Linked DNA regions of Drosophila melanogaster. The protein of the gene in region 1 interacts with the protein of each later gene in a pairwise test. Each region holds a gene or a part of one and is shown on either strand. Other genes may lie near its edges. The genes, in order: Cpr47Ee and LKRSDH.

What was found.
Region 2: the proteins of Cpr47Ee (region 1) and LKRSDH interact in a two-hybrid assay, tested with the Drosophila melanogaster proteins (one large-scale study listed by BioGRID).

The regions. Positions count from the first base shown.
Region 1 is NT_033778.4:11,260,873-11,269,490, forward strand, and holds Cpr47Ee (cuticular protein 47Ee), read left to right. Parts: upstream 1-4,253; 5' UTR 4,254-4,443; coding exon 4,444-4,893; intron 4,894-5,238; coding exon 5,239-5,898; 3' UTR 5,899-5,984; downstream 5,985-8,618. Other genes in the region: Cpr47Ed (cuticular protein 47Ed), read right to left, coding at 441-812, 907-918; Cpr47Ef (cuticular protein 47Ef), read right to left, coding at 6,218-6,429, 6,796-6,840, 6,926-6,991, 7,115-7,147, 7,207-7,263, 7,324-7,356, 7,413-7,469, 7,527-7,667 and 7 more.
Region 2 is NT_033779.5:7,790,469-7,802,315, forward strand, and holds LKRSDH (lysine ketoglutarate reductase/saccharopine dehydrogenase), read right to left. Parts: upstream 5,492-11,847; 5' UTR 5,367-5,491; coding exon 5,307-5,366; intron 5,186-5,306; coding exon 5,042-5,185; intron 4,301-5,041; coding exon 4,124-4,300; intron 4,059-4,123; coding exon 3,680-4,058; intron 3,616-3,679; coding exon 3,041-3,615; intron 2,863-3,040; coding exon 1,707-2,862; intron 1,648-1,706; coding exon 1,471-1,647; intron 1,409-1,470; coding exon 1,290-1,408; 3' UTR 707-1,289; downstream 1-706. Other genes in the region: Herp (Homocysteine-induced endoplasmic reticulum protein), read right to left, coding at 6,462-6,858, 6,929-7,264, 7,695-8,155, 8,841-9,044; r2d2, read left to right, coding at 10,035-10,179, 10,253-11,043.

The DNA.
Region 1 (8,618 bases):
CAGATATGAAAAAAGGTATCTTAAATGACAAACATGTAATCTGCGCGTTTTGAACTTAAGAGCAGAGCTACATAAATGTACATACATATATTGAAAATAAAAAAATAAAATGCCAAATTTTTTTTTTTTTTTGATATTGATTTTTTTTAATATAATCATAATACATTTTCATGTATTGTTAAAAATTGTTAAAAAAGTTGCATACTACAAAAAAACATTACAAAATCAATTTTTTTTAAATCATTTATATATATACCCGTTCTTCGATGAGGTGATTCTCGCTCGCTAAAAATTCGGATGCTTAAAGATGACTTTTATTAATTATAATAATACTAGTTTGCATATATTTTTTGCCGTGTGCCGCTCCTTGAGCCCCAAAGCCGGGCATTCGCCCCTGGATTGGCGATTGGCTTTGGTAATTGCCTGGCTGGCTAACATTTTCAAGAATGTATGCCCATCAAAGCTAATGGCTCTATGCGAATTGGTTTATAGGCTTCCCCTTTGGATATGTACCGAACGTGGGGCAGAAAGCCATTCTTGTCCGCCGTATAGCGCACCTCCACCTCCTGGCCCCAGTCGTTGATATAGCGATAAATACCGGACACCTCGAGATCGTCGTCAGATGTCTTCGAATCGGAGCTCACTATGCCCAGTTCCTCGCGATAGGTGCCATCTGCGGACTCGAACGAAAATAGGTAGGAACCCGAGCTAAGTTGTTCGGTCACCGATTTGAGGATTGGCACCGGCACGTTAATGGAAGTACACTCAGCGGGGCAACTCCACAGCAGTTGGCAGCCAGTCAAGATCAATAGCTGGAAGTTCCCAAAAGAAAAAAAGAAAAAACATGAAGAAAAATGATGTGGAGTCACTTAACGCCAGGGTATTCATGAGCCATCCGCTACTTACCAATGCGAACATGATTTATGCTAATACTAAGCGTGTAGGAAAGATTCTGCGCTTTTTATAGCAATCCGTTAGACGATAGTCCAGATACATAGATACATTTCTCCACCCAATCAGCAGACAAAAGTTATGCAATGCCAGATGCTTTTTAATTGAGGTCAGTAGAAAGTAGCGGCTCGTTGTGTCTCAGAATTTTTGGGGTTTGTTGAACCTCAGATTTGCAATTCAAATGGCGATTAAGAAGTGTGGAGAGCAGGTAAACTGTCATGTTTACACAATGCAGATAGCATCATAGGCACATGCGAATGGCGTGGGCTCTGCTCGAAAGGTGCAGCAGCTAATAAAATTTGTCACAATTGCCGGCACTGCGGCAATTTGTGGCAAGCGAAAGGTGCAGAAATGGTAACGAACGACTGCTCCACCTGACTTGACTTCTACATGCAAATTCCAGCCAGCAAACTTTGATACAGTGGGTGGGCACCTCTGGGCCTTTGAGAAGCGGCTAACATTTATGGCAAACGGCATGCTGGCAACGGCAAGACAAAAAGAATTCAATAATAATTTCCAGCAATTTCGCAACTGGGCTGCGGCAGCAGCAGCACCACATTGCGGCAGAAGTTGCATTTTGGCATTTGCCTTGGCCCGCCCAGTTCCAATTTCCAGTTCCACTTGCCAAAACGGCCAGGCTCTCGGGCAACGTGTTAATAAATTGATTCTTGGTGGCTCCCCAGTCGGTGAGTTGGTTTAAATCCCGCGGAATCAGGTATGACTGCCAGCATGCACATGGAGAAATAATTGGGGAAACAAAAAGTCTAAAAAGGATTACAACAGATTTTATTTCCATTTTAAAATAAATTCAACAACTTTTTCTACATATATTTTTCTCTTGTACAGTTAGGTGCGCTTCGTCACTACGCGCCATTCACTGTTATGGAAAACCGAAAAATAATTAGATTTTCATGAATTTGTACGTGACACAATGACTGTAAATCTTATTAGCTTATTTTTATAAGAATTTAAGGGCCGAAAGGACCCTACTCTATTTTTTTCGAGTGTCTCTTTGCAAAGCGGCATTTGACGCGCCTGCCACAGAAGTGGAAACTTATTAATGAAGCAGCCGCAATGCCGACGAGGTCATAATTCAGAGCTGCGACACTCTAACCTTTAGCCAAGATCTGCCAGCCGGAACCTGAAGATCCGCAGTCGCAATTTTGTTGCAGTCGCACTACGCACTGCCACAAAGTGAATCAATTAGCTCCGCTGGCGGCCATAATTTCTAACTAATGCAATTCGCAATTGCAAAATGTCAGGCCCACTCAACAAAGTATGAAACATCTAAACCATCTCGAAGCGGTGCAACTTTCTGGCTGCCATCTATTAATAACCGTCGCCTTTGCTGTCCGACTTTCAGTTGGATTTGGATTTGGATTTGGGGCTAAGGCCTATGGCTCATAGACATGGCTCAGTCGCAGTTGGAGTCGTGGGAGGAGTGTCCGACCTGTCTTTAATGCGGTTTGCTCATCGGCCAACAACCACATTGTGTTGGCTTGTACTATGCGCTTGTTGTGTCTCGCATTTCTGCATTTTTACGAAGCTCCCCGCATCGCCTCGTTTTCCCGCATTTTGAAGCTTTGTTTTATGGCTATTTATACCCCAAGTTTGCGAATTATTCAAATGGCAAATCAATCAGGCAGCGATTGGCCAATATGGGCCAAAAAACATTTTATAATTAATATTGAACACATTCAATTTGATCTGCTTATTGGGTCAAAACATTTTCGAACCCTAAATCAAAGTTATTTTTAGACATATGGAAGCTGCCAAAACCTATCATTACCTTAAATAAAAAACAAGAGATGTGTAATAACCAAACTAGCAGAAAATCAAATTACATAAAAAATTCCCACGGCCGTTGATTTCACGTCGCATATATGGGCTTTAAAACAACAACACATCGGAAATGTATTGTAAAATCGATTTTTTTATATACATTATACATTGCAAATCATAAGAAATTAAAAAGTTTAAATGAACAATACCCTTTTAATTAATAATAACAAAAGGAAGATGACAAGCAGCAAAAAGTAGTTCATCGAACTGAATAACTCTCATCTTTTATATCTAAGCAATTTAGATATAATTTATAAGTAAAAATATCAATTAATTTTAAAATTAACCTGTTTGGCATGTGCTAAAATTTCCCAGCGAAGCGTATGAAAATGTCGTGAAGGGCGAAAGTGGAACCTATTTGGATTTCGAATATTTATGTAGCATATTTCGCGGCTCCGTTATTTATATTTCTTGGGTCAAAATATCTCTTCTACTTTTAGGCAGATTCTCACATTACCTAGGCACCTAAAGTTTAGTTTATTGCCACCATATCTTTATCGTTTCATAAAAAAAACGCAAATTTTTTAATTTTTTGACAGGAACCGAAATTTAGCTTTAGATTTAAATAGAAGCATAAGCTCCCAATTGAGTGGTGACCCATAACCCATAAAACGCGAGTGTTGACCTTTGTTTCGTAATGAAAAACCTCCACAGAATTAGCATATGCAATTATAGATGAAGCTGAACATGGAACAAGACATGTTCGCCTTTTAATGGCAGCTCATACTGATGACAAACGAAAATGTATCTGTCAGATACTTGGCAGTTATAAATGAGTGATGGCGACCACATCACACCTAGACATGAGCAATCCCCGTCCCATCGAGATTGATGATTAACCCCACTGGAGCGTGGAACAATGGAACACTTCGGGCACGAAAAGCTCTCAAGCTATCCTGGGGATAAGCAGTATCGCATTTGATTAGTATGCCATTTGACAAATGATGTTTGTAGGCCAAGTTGAGGTCCGATTTCCACCTTGACCAAGGGAAAATGAAGGGGCTATCCAACATACAACATAGACCACCAGCCACTGTCAGCACATAACTCAAGCAAACACCTTTGAGGCAGATGCGAAGACAAGTGCTGGAGCAAAAAGACCCAGAATTTGCATATGGGGCTGGCTCATAAACAAGTGCGCGGAAGACGACCGGTGGGCCACCATGAAGATATCAATCAGCCCAGGCCAAAGCCGAAGCCAAACGAAATTCGTTTGTCCTTCTGTCAATGGCCGATAAAAAACCAATAAAGCTGCCAGCCCAGCGGCTTGTTAACACGCAGATAAATTACACTGGCCGCCCGCGAGATTACCATCGAGATGCAGTCAGAAGCCGATAGCCAGGGCACAGGAAGCCGCCGATTGTTCTGACCATAACTGAGCTGAGCTTTAGGGCCTGACGAACCGCCGGGCCCGACGATCGAGAACCGCATAAATACGGCCGCCGGTGGGAGCCGCAATTGCAGTCGTGGCACGGCTTTCGATCAGTGACTTCCAGTGGCAGCAACGGATTTGCTTCGGTACGCGATTGAATCTCCAGCATCAGCAGTGTTTCCCAGCTCCATAAGTGAATCGTCGGGTTTATCGAGCGTGTAATTTGTGCTCCGTTCGCGAGATTTATGATCCACGGCACCTGCCCACTGACAGCCTAAATGTCTGTAGCCCGTACCCCTCGATTCCGGCACCTCCGCTGGGTGGCCTGTCTGCTGGCCAGCCTCTGGTTTTCCGTCAGCCAGGCTCAGTTGCCAGGAACCGGATTCCAGGGACAGCGTCCGCAGGTGCCTCCACTGCAGCCGCTGCAACAGCAGGCCAATCCCTTTCAGCGACGCCAGCCGAATCCCGTACAGGGTCAAGGACTGTTTCCTGGTCAAAGGAATCCACTGAACCCACTGGCACCTCCACTAACTGGAGCTGCTCTACAGAATCCCTATACCCGCTACAACCAGTACCAGCAGCAAAACTATGTGCCCATCACTGCCTACCAAAACGAACTCAATCTGGATGGAAGCTTCTCCTACGGATACTCGTCGGCCGATGGAACCACTGCCCAGGCACAGGGATACGTGAAGAACTTGGGGTATGGTGAGGGAGTTGAGGCACAGGTGGGTTTACTATTCAGATTGATTAGCAAACTTTTCAGTGATATTCTTCTAAATGATCCTATAGCATTAATTGATGGAAAATGGTGTTAAGACTTATTTGTTGATATTTACATCAGCCTTTTTTTAAGTAAATTTTTCTGTTATTTTTTAGTAGAACAAGTTTTTTAAGCTTCACATATCTATGCATAAATTCAAGTAAATTATTTTCAAAAAACCAACGATCATATTATTCAAATTGGGACATAATGCGTTGCAATCTTTTCGGCGTTGAGCTAACTATAACTAAAAAATTCGTATCATGCTTTTGGGTGCTATTTGTCAACAACTTTATTTGCCATTGAACAGGTGATTCAGGGATCCTACTCGTACACCTCACCGGAGGGCACACCCATCACAGTGCGCTACATCGCCGATGAGAACGGATTTCGAGCGGAGGGCACGGGGATTCCATCTAGCCCTCAATATTTCGCAGGTGCCCAGCCCTATCAACAGGGCTTGCTCAATCCCAATTTGAATCCATACCAGACGCCCTTCCGCCAGCTGCCACCCCCACTGCCCAACGCCCCCTTTCGTCCCCAGCTTCCAGGACAACAGCCGCTCACTCCACTGCAGCAACAGCAGCAGCAACAGCAACAACAGTTGCAACAGCAACGCGGTTTCCAGCAGCAGCAGCAGCCAAACTCCGGGCAATATCAACCGGAACAGCCGTTCAATCAGTTGCATTCCGGCAACTTACCCGGTCAGTATGCCGGACAATTTGGCCAGCAATCGTTTGGCAGCAATCTTACTGCACAACAGGCACAACAGCAGCAGAATCTCAACCAGCAACAGCAGCAGCAGCAGCAACAACAGCAGCAGCAGCAACAGCAGCAGAAGGAGCAGCAAAACGAGCAGCAGCAACAGGCCCTAATCACCCAACAACTGAGGGGCAGACCGAACAACCTGGTGGATCCATATGGCTATAATCAGTACGGCAGACGCTTCAAGAAGTCCCCAAAGAAATAACGACAAATTAATGTCATTTAAATGATTGATTAGTTTGAAGATGTAGTCGCAACTCAAAGGCATGAAATACATGCATCTGAAAAGTCAAGCAGTTTGTTTCAATTTCCGCAGCTTACGCGGCGCAAAATGATAAGCAAATATTTTATAATAATCATTTATTTCGATAGTTGCACACACACATTGTCAGAGTGGAAGAGGGAGGTAAGCTTATATAAATAAATTAATTGTTTTAGCGAAAGAACATTGAGGGCAGCCTGCACGGAAATGACGTTTCTTCGATTTGAGAGATTTGATTGGCGTTTTGGAATAAATTCTGATTTTAGTAGCTATAGCCCGTCTGAGGATTGAACTCTCCGTTTCCACGACCTCCGCCCGGCGCTCCCGGAGCAGGTGGAATGTACTGTGATCCTGTGCCGGGAACTCCTCCCGATCCTGGTCTGCCTGGCGAGCCGGGTGCTCCGCCACCAGCCGCTGGTGGAACATACTGATTGCCGGGCAATCCTGGTCCGCCTGGACGTCCACCGGCGCCTCCTAGATAAAAAATGGAAACAATCGCGATTAGAGTGGCATTAAATTTATGTAAACCCTCTTTGATTAGTTGTAATTATTTAAAGCAGTCTTTAAAATTATTATAATCTAGCGACTTCAAAGAGACCGCGTGCAAGCCGAAATGTTTTATGCATGAAAGATCGTTAGTCGATCGTGGGTAAAACAATAGACCAAGGCTTTGCCAAACAAGAATTGTCAAAATAAAAAAACTGAAATGTGTGGGAATAGCACTTGTCTAGTGTAGCTCTTCACATCATTTTCTCATGAAGATGAATGAGGCTAATTCAAGTTTTACAATTGCAATCACACAGATTGTAAAACCGGGTTTATAACTATAATGCTTCTTACCCGGTCCACCGGCACCTCCTCCATAACCTGGACCGCCTGGAGATCCTACATTAAAAAATGTAAATACCATCTATATGTTGTGACAAATTGGGAGAGTGACCTCTTCATCACAAAAACCAATGTTACTCACCGGGTCCACCGGGTGCTCCTCCAGCTCCACCGCGACCACCGCCGGCGCCAAAGCCACCACCACCTCCTAAAAAATAAATATTACTTTAATTATTATAATATTTATAACACAGTTTAACAAGTAGTCGGAAACTTGAAGAATTTCGTAAGTTTTGTGGAATGCACAGTGTACTGTTACTAAGTTACTAACCTTGGCCTCCGAATCCTCCTCCTCCGGGAGAGCCTGCGAAACACGAATGGTATGTTTTTAAAGCCACTAGGCAGATATTAAAATCGACTTACCAGGAGCTCCAGGAGCACCACCACGACCGGCGCCGCCTCCGTATCCGCCACCCCCACCTACAAGATGAAGATGTTTTACTTAAGACCTGCAACTGGAATATTGTTTTGCTAACTAACCTTGACCGCCAAATCCTCCTCCACCAGGCGATCCTATTAATTAATAATTCCTTATTTTCAGTAACAAACAATTTATGTTTTGTACTCACCTGGAGCTCCTGGGGCACCTCCACGACCACCACCTCCTCCGAATCCGCCACCACCTCCTACAAGATGAATGTATTATTCGAGGTGAATGTGCAGTAAGTTTTAAAATCCCTTACCTTGACCTCCGAATCCGCCACCACCTGGGGATCCTGGTGCTCCTGGCGCACCTGGTGCTCCACCACCACCGCGACCGCCGCCGCCTCCATAGCCGCCGCCAGCACCTCCCTGGCCACCATATCCGCCTCCGCCTGGTGATCCTGAAAATAAGCAATGTGTTATCTATTATATAAAGTGAATGAAATCATGAACTCACCGGGAGCGCCAGGAGCACCGCCGCGTCCGCCGCCACCTCCGAATCCTCCGCCTCCACCTGGAAAGTGTATATAGTTTTAACTTGAACCGCAAAGTCAGGCGGGATCACTTACCTTGACCTCCGAAACCTCCACCGCCAGGTGATCCTTTAGTTGAAGTAAGTTATTAGTTTTGAGTATCTATGGAGTAACACTTTTCGTTAACTTACCGGGAGCTCCTGGTGCTCCGCCACCGCCGCGTCCTCCGCCGCCGCCACCACCATAACCGCCGCCAGCACCTCCTTGACCACCAAATCCGCCGCCGCCAGGTGATCCTGAAATATATGAAAATAAATATAAATTCATGAAGTGAATTAAGACGGATTTTCTTTAGGAACAATAAATTTCATCTAGAAAAAGGACTTACCAGGACCTCCTGGGGAACCACCACGACCAGCTCCGCCACCAGCTCCTCCATAGCCTCCTCCACCTCCTAAAAAATAAATAGTATTTTAGATCCATGTGTAAGCCGTTGGAACATAACTTACCTTGACCTCCGAATCCGCCTCCACCTGGCGCACCTAAAGAAGCAAACGAATCGATAAAGTATTAAATTAATCTAATAGGGGTTAACATTTTTAAAAATTGTATAAATAAATCAGTCGTTACCTGGACCTCCTGGTGCTCCTCCACGACCACTGCCGCCTCCTAAAAATAATCAAAGTTAAAGTCAAAAAAGACTAAAAAAAGAAAAAGGGTCAAAATGTGACTTGAATTCGTATCTTACCTGATCCATATCCACCGCCACCTCCTGCTCCACCTCCGCCTCCACCGGATCCTCCTCCTGCGCCGCCGCCTCCAAATCCGGATCCGCCTCCATATCCCGAACCACCGCCTCCGCCGCCACCTGCTCCTGCA
Region 2 (11,847 bases), on another chromosome or scaffold:
AGCACGCAGACGTATATACGACCGCCCCAAAAGATGAAGAGAACACACACGTACTTTATTCCGGACGGACCGGCGTCTGAATGGGAACTGCGGACGCGGACTTATCAGGCCCGATGGCCCAGCGCTTAATTCGCGACGTCGACCGCGACTTGGGTTCCACAACAACGAATCCCAGTGCGCACCGCACACCAGTCATGCTCATTTGGCGGTTTTTTGGAATTGATCCGGGTTTCCCCAGTCCCCTCCGCCGGATGTTCTCTTCACGAACTATGAATTTTCCATGTTTCCGTTATTGCGTTTATAGCACTTAGAAAGTTTTAGAAAAAAACGTTTTTTAAAAGTAAAAATTTTCGTGTATTATTAAAGTGGAATCTAGCAAATTTCATGCAGAGAACAATTTCCCAATCCTCAAATCAGACCCCAGATAAGAAACATCTTTAAAAGAAAACCTTTTACTTACCGCAGAAGTAAATGTACATTACTTGTTTAACTACGTGTAATTGGCATCACTAGCCCGCACAATCTTATCTGCAAAAAAGATTGTGTGTGTGCTTTGCATTGAATGAATGTGAATTAAAATTTGTAAAACGCGAGATTGCGCGCTCCCACTCCATGGGCAACTAAATTGCTGCCCGGCAGAGAGGTTATCAGTCTCGGGCTCCACATTTTCCACAGTAATTCCAGGGAGATGTGTGGCCTGTTTGTTGTTTATTACAATTATAAACGTTAATGACCGCCTCGCAAACGGATCCAATCGGATCACCAAAGATGTTTTATGCCGCACTAAATATAGATTGAAATCGGGTTTCTTCATTTAAAATTAGTTCAAGTTCGGATGATAACCCTTCGCAGATCGGGTTGCCAGGCGCTACAGGGACAATCGAACGGAAATCGAATCTTAAAGATTAAATCGCACGGAAAATTGGAATACACGTTTATGATCATAATCAATGTTGTATATTCCAGGCCTTCTATATCTTTAAATACAATCCACTTATACAGTATTATTATTTTCCATAAATATTTAATCACTTACAATCAGGCTCGTAGTGAATTCACGTTAAGGAAACATGTTTCACAATTTGGACAACGACTTCAACTTGTTTACGTACGTCAAGTAGCTCTAGTTATAAAACTTATTTCAGTATTATGATAACGTAATGACACTCTTATCAAACAACGAAATACCCGAGCGATAAAACAAGAAGTATCACCCGACGCGGTGGGCAGTCAAAAAAGTAATATTAATGAAGACTTAAGCCTATTTTCTCGGGATCAGTTAAGATCACTTAATTTAGCCATCTGGAGGTTTCCGTGGCAGTCAGACCCTCGGAGCGCAGACGTTGCAGCATGGGACGATAAATGTCGGGAGTGAAGGGCAGCAGGACGCCGCGTTCCTGGATCTCACCTGAAATGGGATGATTTGGAATTATTTAAACGGCTTTTAAGAGTACTGATAAGGGAACCCACCGTCTAGGATCATTTTGGCTGCGATGGCAGCCGGCTTGCCCACAGTCATCGCCATGGCGGAGTGACCCTGGGGCTGTCCGTAGACCACAAAATTGATTCCACGCTCCTCACGACGACCATCGGGCCAACGGATGCCAACTTCATGGCGCAGCACCACCAGGTCGCGTTCATCCCGCTCTGTAAATGAATAGTATGATTAATTATAAAATCAGTTTAGAATTAAATGGTTAACCCACCGAAGGCAAGTCTCTTCGAGAGATAGTGACTAAGCGTATCCAGCGGAGTGTTGAGCTTCACCACAGGAGTATCATCCAGCAGACCCAAGCTCTCGATGCCGTCCACATCTCCAATGCGCTCAGTCAGCTTCTGCTTGAGGTTCTCGTAGAAGATGGTCGAGTCCGACATGCCCATTAGATGGATCACCAGCTGGCGCCACGTGACATCCGGCCCACTGGGATGTAGCAATGCATGTGGCTCCGGATCGATAAGTCCCAAGAGCTGCATAGGCTTAATCGATTCCGAAAAGCCCTTATAACGTATGGTTCCACGAAGCAAAGTGTGCACATCCCTGCCTAAGCCGTAAAGGTTGCCGTATTTGGTGGAATCCCTGTTGGGGAAACCCTCCAGGGCGAATCCTGGCAGGAAATCCAAGCTGCGAGGACTTGACATGAGTTCCCCACCTCCAGAAATCTCCACAATTTGTCCCTGACTCAGATATTTTGCAGCGGAAAGTGTGTTGAGAAGTACTCCCCTGGGTGACCAAGAGAACTTATATCTTAGGGCATTATTGGAATGCTCCGGTGCAGGCAGACCGCCACAATAGCTCACGAAGGACTCGACAACTGCTCCCTTGTCCTGCACCTCGTGGATGCACTCCAGTGCCAGAAGGTGATCGATACCAGGATCCAAGCCCACCTCGTTCATGATGGTCACACCCTTGGCCTTGGCCTCCTCGTGCAAACCGGAGATCTCGTCGTTCAGATAACTTGCGGTAACCATGTGGGTGCCCTCTGCCACGCAATAACGTGCCACCATGCCATGGAGACTGTAGGGCAGCAGGGAAACTACTACATCTGCCCTGCCGCACAGCTCCTGCAGATGACCAGTGCTCTCGTTCACATCCAGATAGACGCTGTCCACTCCAGCATACTGCTGAGCCAGGCGATCGGCTTCCTCCTTGACCTGCGAGCAAACCGTTATGCTGACGTCCTTTTCGCGATGAAGCCACTCTACGAGTGGAGCGGACACCATGCCAGCTCCCAGAACCAAGACCTTCTTGTCAGACTCCGAACTTCCCTCCATCTTGTGGCGCGATCTGTGGCTTTGCGACTCTCGGAGCTCCTGAATATACTGGAAGCCCTCCGTCAGCTGACCGTTGCTGGCGATAATAGCCTGAAAACGAGCAAAGAGAAACGGAATTTATTAGCTGATAACAGATGCTGATAACAAGGCATGATGCACATTGGTTTAGGTTAAGAAAACAACTCTTCAAAGCGTAAGTTACAATATAAATCATTAACTTTAGGTAAATTTATAAATGTAATATAAAGGTAAGGCAAAGTGAACTCACCGACTGAATGGGGTATGAGAAGTTCTCCTCTGCCAACGGCTTCTTGGCATCGCTCTTTATAATATCATGAACATGAGGAGCCAACAGCTCTCCAAACAAATCCGTCGATTCTCTGGGCAATTGTGTAGGCATATTATCAATCGAACAGACTAAAACTCCGGGTCCCTTAAAGCTCTTGGTATCCTTATTCCTGTCCGCATCGTACAAGCAGAATGGAGTGTCGATGGTGGTGCACTCGTTCATAAACTCAATGGAGCCACCGGGATCAGCGGAAATGTCGCAAATGGCCAGCATGCGATGTGGCAAAGCCGGACTACCCTTGCTCGTCGGCAGCCAGGGAGTGTTTGCCGGACGTAGCAGATTCTTGGCATCCGGAATGCTGATCAACTTGGGACTGCCTACGGCCCAGTAGATGCCGTTAACAATAACCGATGCGTACGGAGCTATCTTCGTGCTAAAGGTGGAGATGTATCGTTCGGGGAACTCATCGTATTCCTTGGCATCAAATCCGCCGCCCTCACGACGCTCCAGATGATCCGATCGGCTCACCTCGCAGCCGTAAAGCTTATTTTGATCTAACGTTAAATACAAATTGTAGTTCATTCAGAATTAACTAATGCAGGATTCCACTTGACTCACTTCCATGTTCGGCCACCTTGCGTAGCATCTCCGGTGGAACATACTCAATGGGCAGCTCGGAGAACACCTCCTGGGCACCTTGGGAAACATTTCCAGAGCCAGTGAACACAAATGTAAGTGGTCCAATGGACTTGGGCATCATGCCAAGCGAGATCTCGTAGCCACAATCCCGGATTGCCTGGCGAGCCATCGAGGAATTGCGATAGTTATGAGCGGGTCCAATGTGCATGAATGGTGTATGATGTCCCAGGGCCAAAAGACGCAGTCCAATGCCGTGCAGGATGTTCACCATGCCAGCCACTCCGGCATATTTGCCAAAGGCCACCTGTCGTGCTCCGCGTTCGTCGATGATTCGCTCATAGTCGATGAGCCGAATTTTCTATGGATAAAACAGTGGCAATATAATATGAAAAACTTCATTTAACTCTTATGTGTGATAGGAACCTTCTCCAAAATAGCATCCAAAAGCGGCATATTTGATTCCTGCGCTTTAATCGTGTGCGAAAAGAAGCAGTAGGTCTTCCCAGGAATCAGTGCATCTATGGGCACCTGTTTCACTCCGAATATCACCGAAGCATCACTGATGTCCTCCTGAATATGAGCTCCAGCCTGCATGTAGGCCTGTTCCGGAAAAACAAATCAACTCAATGTTATTATTTGTTTTTATTTAGTTAAGTGCCCCGCTTATCTATTCTATTCATCCTGCTACGTGGTAATCTTTACAATGCATCAGGCGAAAGATGATGATTGTACTATACACGTGTGAAACATTTAATCCCCTTGCCCCTCAACTTAATTAAATCTGATTAGGTTTTCTAATTTTTTCCAGTACCATTTGCTAATCGTTTTGTAATTGCATTTACTGTTGGGGTGTGTCAGTGGGGTACTTTAAATTAAGTGCTTTACCTTCTTCAAAAATTATTTTAGTTAGTTTAGTTCTTTCTCACGTGACCCTTTGAAAATGTTATCAACTCTAAAAATCACCTTAATACATTATATAGATTCCTTGAAATCATTGCTGCAAACGATAAGCTTTGCTTCCCATTGTTTTTCCTCTCCTCGTCGTTTGTTTTGTACTCGATTTCAAGGCCGGGCCAATTGCCAAATTTAGAGCTCCATGGAGGCTTATCATCCGAGTTTATATTTATGATGCAGCACTTGGGGGGCGTGTGTGCCTCCATACCATATAAATACCATACTATGCTACCTATACACGCGTACTTGTTGCCCTGACGACTACCGACCGATATGATTTCCATGGGCGATTAGCCCTGCAGACTCAATAAATCCGTTGCCAACTGGCCATGGAAAGTTACAACCTATGGATAATGTGACGAAATTTTAATTTCAAATTGAGCTCACCTGCATGGGGTAGGCACGACGATTGGACGGCTGCACTATGACCTTGACATTCTGCTTGACCAACTTCTGGACGTGGGTTGGTCCAAACGGAGCTCGTCGCTCCCACACCGACTGATCCTCTCGCCGAATGGCAATCACTCGACTCTGAAAGAGCAAAAGATTGGGATATTTATTTAGTATATATATTTTAAAAATTAATATCTTTTACATTCGTATGAATGCGATTATTCAATGTGGCTGCAATTGGGGAGTTGAATCAACTCACATGACGTTGTCTGGTGAACGGATGCGCGATTGTTGCGCGCAGTTGAATCACTCGCCACATGTTTCGGCAGCTTTGTGGGATCAGTTCGAGCAGATGAAGTGCGAATTTAATTGTAACCGTTGTGCTTATTCTTGGCCTGAGTGGAATGATCCGATCCGTTGGCTCCGAGCTCTGGTACTCTTCTAAAGGCATCGATGGAGGCAGTCAGCGAAACAGCCTCTAATCAGCAGTTGGACCCAGTCGTAAATCCAGCGATAAGCCGTGCTCTCCATGCATCTCATCGCAGCTAAAAGAAACCAATTTTGTGCGTTAGCTGGGCAAAAAGAGCGAGCTGCTGGTGATTGTCACTTACCCGTGAGGGAATCCGGATCTCCGTTCGATTTTCGGCTGAAAATTTTCCACTTTGATAAGAGAAGTTTCTAAGAATTAAGAGAATCGTCCGGGGAAAATTCCTCAAGCGCTGTTTACACAATGCAATTCTTATACAAATTTTCGGGAAAAAACCGATTATTTCCTTATTGAATCATTCAAAATTGTTTAAAATAATAACATTTTAAATTTTAAAAATATATTTTTTAATAGTCAATATGTGTCTATGCATATGTTCATATGTCTATATGTTATTAAATTAAAGATTCTTTTAAGATTTTAAAAACAATGCCAATGATGTTGAAAACATTTAAAAACAGTATGTTCTTCATTTAAATCGTAGATATATTTTTTATAGATAAAATTGCACCTTGTAAACACCACTTTTCGATTTCGGTTTTTGGTGTTAAAGCATACGTTTTATTTTAATTGCATCTTGGTTTCATAGGTTCGTCTCTAGCACAGATTGCAGTGCAGATTATAAACATTCTACTATTCACATCAAAAACAGAGTACGTTCTTAGATATCTAAAATTCTACGAGCTATTGAGGCAGCAGTCACCATGTTGTAACTTGGCTAACACTCGGAAATAAATATACATGATTATTACAGCTAGTAAAACAAATTGTTTGTTTTTGCTACATTCTCAGGTATGCACAAAACTCAAAAGGAAAACGGAATAACAGTTTGATTATGGGAGTTTTAAAAGAGGAAAGCCGTAAAGCTGTAAAGCTGGTTTGTGGATGGTCAAACACGTCCCTCTGTATAACGTACAGTTCGATCCTCTAGAGCGCCGGCGCCTCGGGCAGCAGCGAGGTGAAGAACGTGATGACAAAGGTGCGCACAACGGAAATCACAGAATTATTGGCATTTGGTGGTTCCACAGCTTCCGCGGAAACGTCAGTCGGTTCTGGATTAGCAGCGGATGCTGGAGCAACGGGAGCCCCAGCCGGAGGTGCATCGATTGCATCTTGTTCACCAGCAGCAGCAGGTCCAGCCGCTGGCACTGCACCAGGCTCATTGGCCGCCTGGGGATCGTTGTTCTCCCGCTGCACGGCCGCATCCATCATGCGCTGAATTTGCTGCACTGCAGCAAAGGCGGCCGCATCGCCAGCATTATTGTTACGATTTATGTTGTTATTGTTCCGCTCGCGGCGACGTCGAAGGACACCAATGTGATATCTAACAAACAATTATAATTTCAATATATGTGTAAACTTTTCAATTCGAATCAAAGAGGAAATGTACTTACAGATAAATCGCACCCGCGATGAGCACCACCAGTAAACAACGCAGCGCTGAGGAGTTAAAGTACAGGACAGTCACAAAAATGGCCAATCGCGTAAAGCTAAAGAAACTATCCAGCCAGTCGTGCATTTCCGGTTCCTCCTGAATGTTGGGAAAATTTCTGTTCTGCGGCGCTCCATTAATCTGAGGATCAGCAGGTACCTGTGCCGCTGGGGCAGCAGCTGCTCCTGCCACTTGTTGTACCTCCCCGAAGTTTCGCCCAGCAATCAGTGGGACTGAGGGCAACAGGGGTTGAGTCGGTGGCGGCAAGCCAGATTGGTTCGAACCGGGCAACGTAGAACTGTGGGTATAATATAAGATTGTTGTGTAAGAATCATAGCATTCAATATTATAGAAAATAATTGTTCGTTTACATGCAAAACTTAATTGCGCACAATAAATTCTTCGGGAGCGACCCCAAAATTATATTATTTAACTGTAATCGTGGCCATACAAGTATACTACAATTTTAGCACGCCTGATAACCAAAATAATAAAAAGATTATAAATAATCAAGAAACAACTTTAAAAATGCTAAAACAGCATTTTGATCTCACTTGAATAATAAAGTACCTCTTAAGAGTGACTAAATACAAGTGTTTCTCCTTCTGAGAAAAATAAAATGTATTCGCTATCGAGCTCTGTGTAATTTGATTCGCTCGCTTCTGATATCAGTGAATTAATTGTTGGATCAAGTGTGTTCCTTTAGCCTTCTGGTTCTGTTCACTTACCGTAGAGTCAACTGCTGCATGTACTGCGCGTAAGCCTGCTGCATCCAGGCGTTGTAGATGAGCGCCTGCTGCTGGAACAAAGCATGGGGACTGGCACTGGCATTGGCAGCAGGTGCTGCTCCCTGGCTCTGCTGCCAGAAGTGTGTCCAGGGATTGGCCAAACCGATGTCACCCGTCACGTGTGGTCCAGCGTTGCCCTGCTGTGCCTGCTGCTGATGTGGAGCATGACGTTGTCGCAGCTCATTTGCATTCCCAGTGACCTCGGGCCCAGCTGGAACCGCATCCTTCTGCGGAACAGTGGGGGCTTTGGCAGCCGGCCTTATCACTTGCTTGCTGGCACACACCAAGTGAAATATGTGGTGCTGTTGGTAGACATCCTTGTAGCTGCGTATCACCTCAGATATCTTTTGGGAGTCATCTAATAGCTTGCCCGAGTAAATAAGTTTCTGGTCCTGGATTAACTACAGAAAAAATGGAAAGAAATAGTTATAGTGGTCAAAACATAAAACATAAAATTTCACATTATAGGTATTCAGAGGGAACCTAGAGATAACTCATTGTTGCTTTTACCTCCGCGCGAAATTTATACTATCAAACAGTGCCTAAATCTATTTATTTGCACACTCCAAGAGATAACAACTTGTACTTGTCAGTTGACTTTATGGAAATGATACTTGAAACTAAATAAATTTTTATAAATTCTACTTGATTTGCTCTGGAAATAAAGAGTGCTAATGTATTTTTTCTGCCTGCAATGATCTGAATCTTTAGTATATATCAGTGATATTGATATGTGGGATGTACATATGTACATAAAAAACTTGGCACATGAGTGGAGCGTGAATATGTCCAAAAATCTTATCACTTTCTAACCGTAACCAAATTAATCCCAGTTCCCAGTTCCGACCCATCGATTTGGCATAGACCAAGTGCATGACGCAAGTGCATGACGGCGACTATAATTTAGAGGAGCAATCCACTGACGTGTACTTGCGACTAAGACGCAAATAGCTTTGGGAACCGACACACCTATGAATCCTAAACGAAGATGATAAACAATAACAAACTTCTCGATAAGATAATGGGGCTCCTGGCCAGTTTTCTACCTATACGATAACAAGGGGGGGAACCAACTCGATAACCCACCGGTTTGCCAGGATAGATAAGAGATAGGTGCTTCTTCAGCCTCTGGACCGTCCAGCAGAGATCGGAGTCCACATTGAGATCCTCATACTGCTGGTTGGACGACTTGATGAGCAGCCGGACACTGGTTTCCGGATTCTTTTGACGGGTGGCGGCATCGCAGCCCGCGGCTGTTGCGGCTGCGGGTGGGGCGGCGTTCTCCTCCATCTGGCTGACCCCGCGAATCGGAGAACTTTCTATTGCTAATTAATGACCGCGATACGAAGATCGGTGATGGGTTTTTGCTGCGCTAGCGGGGACACTTTTTACGCAGCCACTGTTTCTCACTTCCTACTCCGCTCTGCTCTCTGCGTATTTTCGAGAAATAGTTTATTCTGAATTTGACATTTAATTTGGTATTATGCTATTGTTTGGTTTTCAACAGCTGTTCGTTCTGTGGTGTTTTGCTCGCAGCACAGAGTTATTGATTATGAAACGCAGTAAACGTTCCGCAGTTGATCAAAAACTACTCTTCATTTGGTTCTGACCTGTGGCAAGTGATGAGCGTCGGTCACAGGGCTGCCGCGAGTAGCAGGTATTTTTAAGTCGCAGGTTGCACAAACAGCTGAGAATTGATTTTCCAAAGTGTGTGGGATGTGGCAATTTAAGTACACAGTTGGAAAATATTAAAGTCGTTGCTCAAACACTTGGTTTTAGTGTTTTTAGAATTTATTCCTTTGAAAAATATACGGTATCTAGTTATTTGCAGTTGTGGATTTTGCTCATCACTGACAGCAACACTTGTTAATGCCATATACTACGCAACAGGGTTGCCTTGACTTACGGGGATGCCAACTCGCGTCATCGTGACGTGTCGATTATGTATAACACTTCAGACGTTGAACTTTGAATGAAAACACCGAATAGCATATAAAATGCATTTGCTCCTTAGTAAAAAAGTTAAGAAGGTTTGCCGCTGTTTTCGTATTCGAATTACGAATTCAATACTATTTCGTGAAAATATTTTTTTGACAAAGCGGCATAAAATAATTCATTTACAGATGTCTTCGTCAAGATTTCCTATTCTATCGTTGCCGCTTCGTGATTCGCGTGCCATCTCTAATAACATTGCAGTGCTTTAGATATTTTATAAATTATATATATGGTTATATTCTGTTGAATGTTAGCACGTCCGACGTGCCTTTTCCCCTTGAACTCATGGATAACAAGTCAGCCGTATCTGCTCTACAGGAGTTTTGTGCCCGGACACAGATTAATCTACCAACATACAGTTTTATTCCCGGCGAAGACGGAGGGTACGTCTGTAAAGTTGAACTATTGGAGATAGAGGCCCTTGGAAATGGTAAATTTAAATTACAAATCTCAACCACTATTTATATTCGTATCTAAACCGCCACATATTTATCCAATTCTAGGGCGTTCGAAGCGTGATGCCAAACACCTGGCTGCCAGCAATATCTTGCGTAAAATCCAACTGCTGCCCGGCATACACGGCTTGATGAAGGATTCGACTGTGGGTGATCTGGATGAGGAACTGACTAACCTCAACCGGGACATGGTGAAGGAGCTGCGTGACTACTGCGTCCGCCGCGAGATGCCACTGCCCTGCATTGAGGTAGTGCAGCAAAGCGGCACCCCGAGCGCCCCGGAATTCGTGGCCTGTTGCTCCGTGGCCTCCATAGTACGCTACGGAAAGTCGGACAAAAAGAAGGATGCCCGTCAGCGAGCGGCCATTGAAATGCTGGCCTTAATCTCCAGCAATTCGGACAATTTGCGTCCGGATCAAATGCAAGTAGCGAGCACAAGCAAATTGAAAGTTGTTGATATGGAAGAATCTATGGAGGAATTGGAGGCATTGCGCAGAAAGAAATTTACCACCTACTGGGAGTTGAAGGAAGCCGGGAGCGTAGACCATACAGGCATGCGGCTCTGCGACCGACACAACTACTTCAAGAACTTCTATCCTACCCTGAAAAAGGAGGCCATTGAGGCCATCAATTCAGATGAATACGAGAGCTCCAAGGATAAGGCTATGGACGTAATGAGCTCTTTAAAGATAACACCCAAAATCAGTGAAGTGGAATCTTCATCGTTGGTTCCCTTGCTTAGCGTCGAGCTTAATTGTGCATTCGACGTGGTCCTTATGGCAAAGGAGACCGATATCTACGACCATATAATAGACTATTTTCGCACCATGTTGATTTAATGCGTATAACATTTATTCAACTATTCTAGCTTAAAACTAAGTAAACTCGTTTTATTTACACTCTAGAATGCACATATTTCATTTAATCTTACGATTAATACAATCTCCACCAATTTGTAGGTGGGAAACATAAAAAAATTATTTTCAAGGTCTTTTAGTAAACATCTATGTTAACTTTGTACACGATTGAGATAGGTGTAAAAAATCCAAGGAAATAAGTAAGGGGAGTGGGTACAACAACTTTTACTTTCGAGAAGGTATAACATAATGATATTATTAATTACTTTTCGATGCCAATACCAATGTTAATTCTATTAAAATGTAAAGTATTTATACGGTCCGAACTTATTGTTTGCAACAACTGATTATAAAATATTTGAAGCAATTTACATAAATATGTATTGCACAGTGAAATTAAAAATCTGAACATTTGCCTTTAAAAGGAATGCTAGTAATCAAAGACTTACTTGAAACAAATATTTTAAATAATTTGACGGAAAAAAATGGTAAAAATGCTGCATTTCTTTTTTTTTTTACAAGTACAACTTTTATACGAATAAAAGGGGTTTCAGTCTAAAATAAATAAAGTGCTTCGTAGTCTTCAGCATTTTTGATTTTATTTTTACAACACAATGCTAAAATGAAAACTAAGCGTTCCTCTTAAAAACTTTCAACAATGTATTAACAATTTCAATGTCAATTGCTTGCCTTTTAATGGGTTATCTTATATTAGTACAATATGTTAAATAACAAATCCATAACAATTTGAAATGTTTTCCTAAAAAAAAATGTAAGTGTATAAAT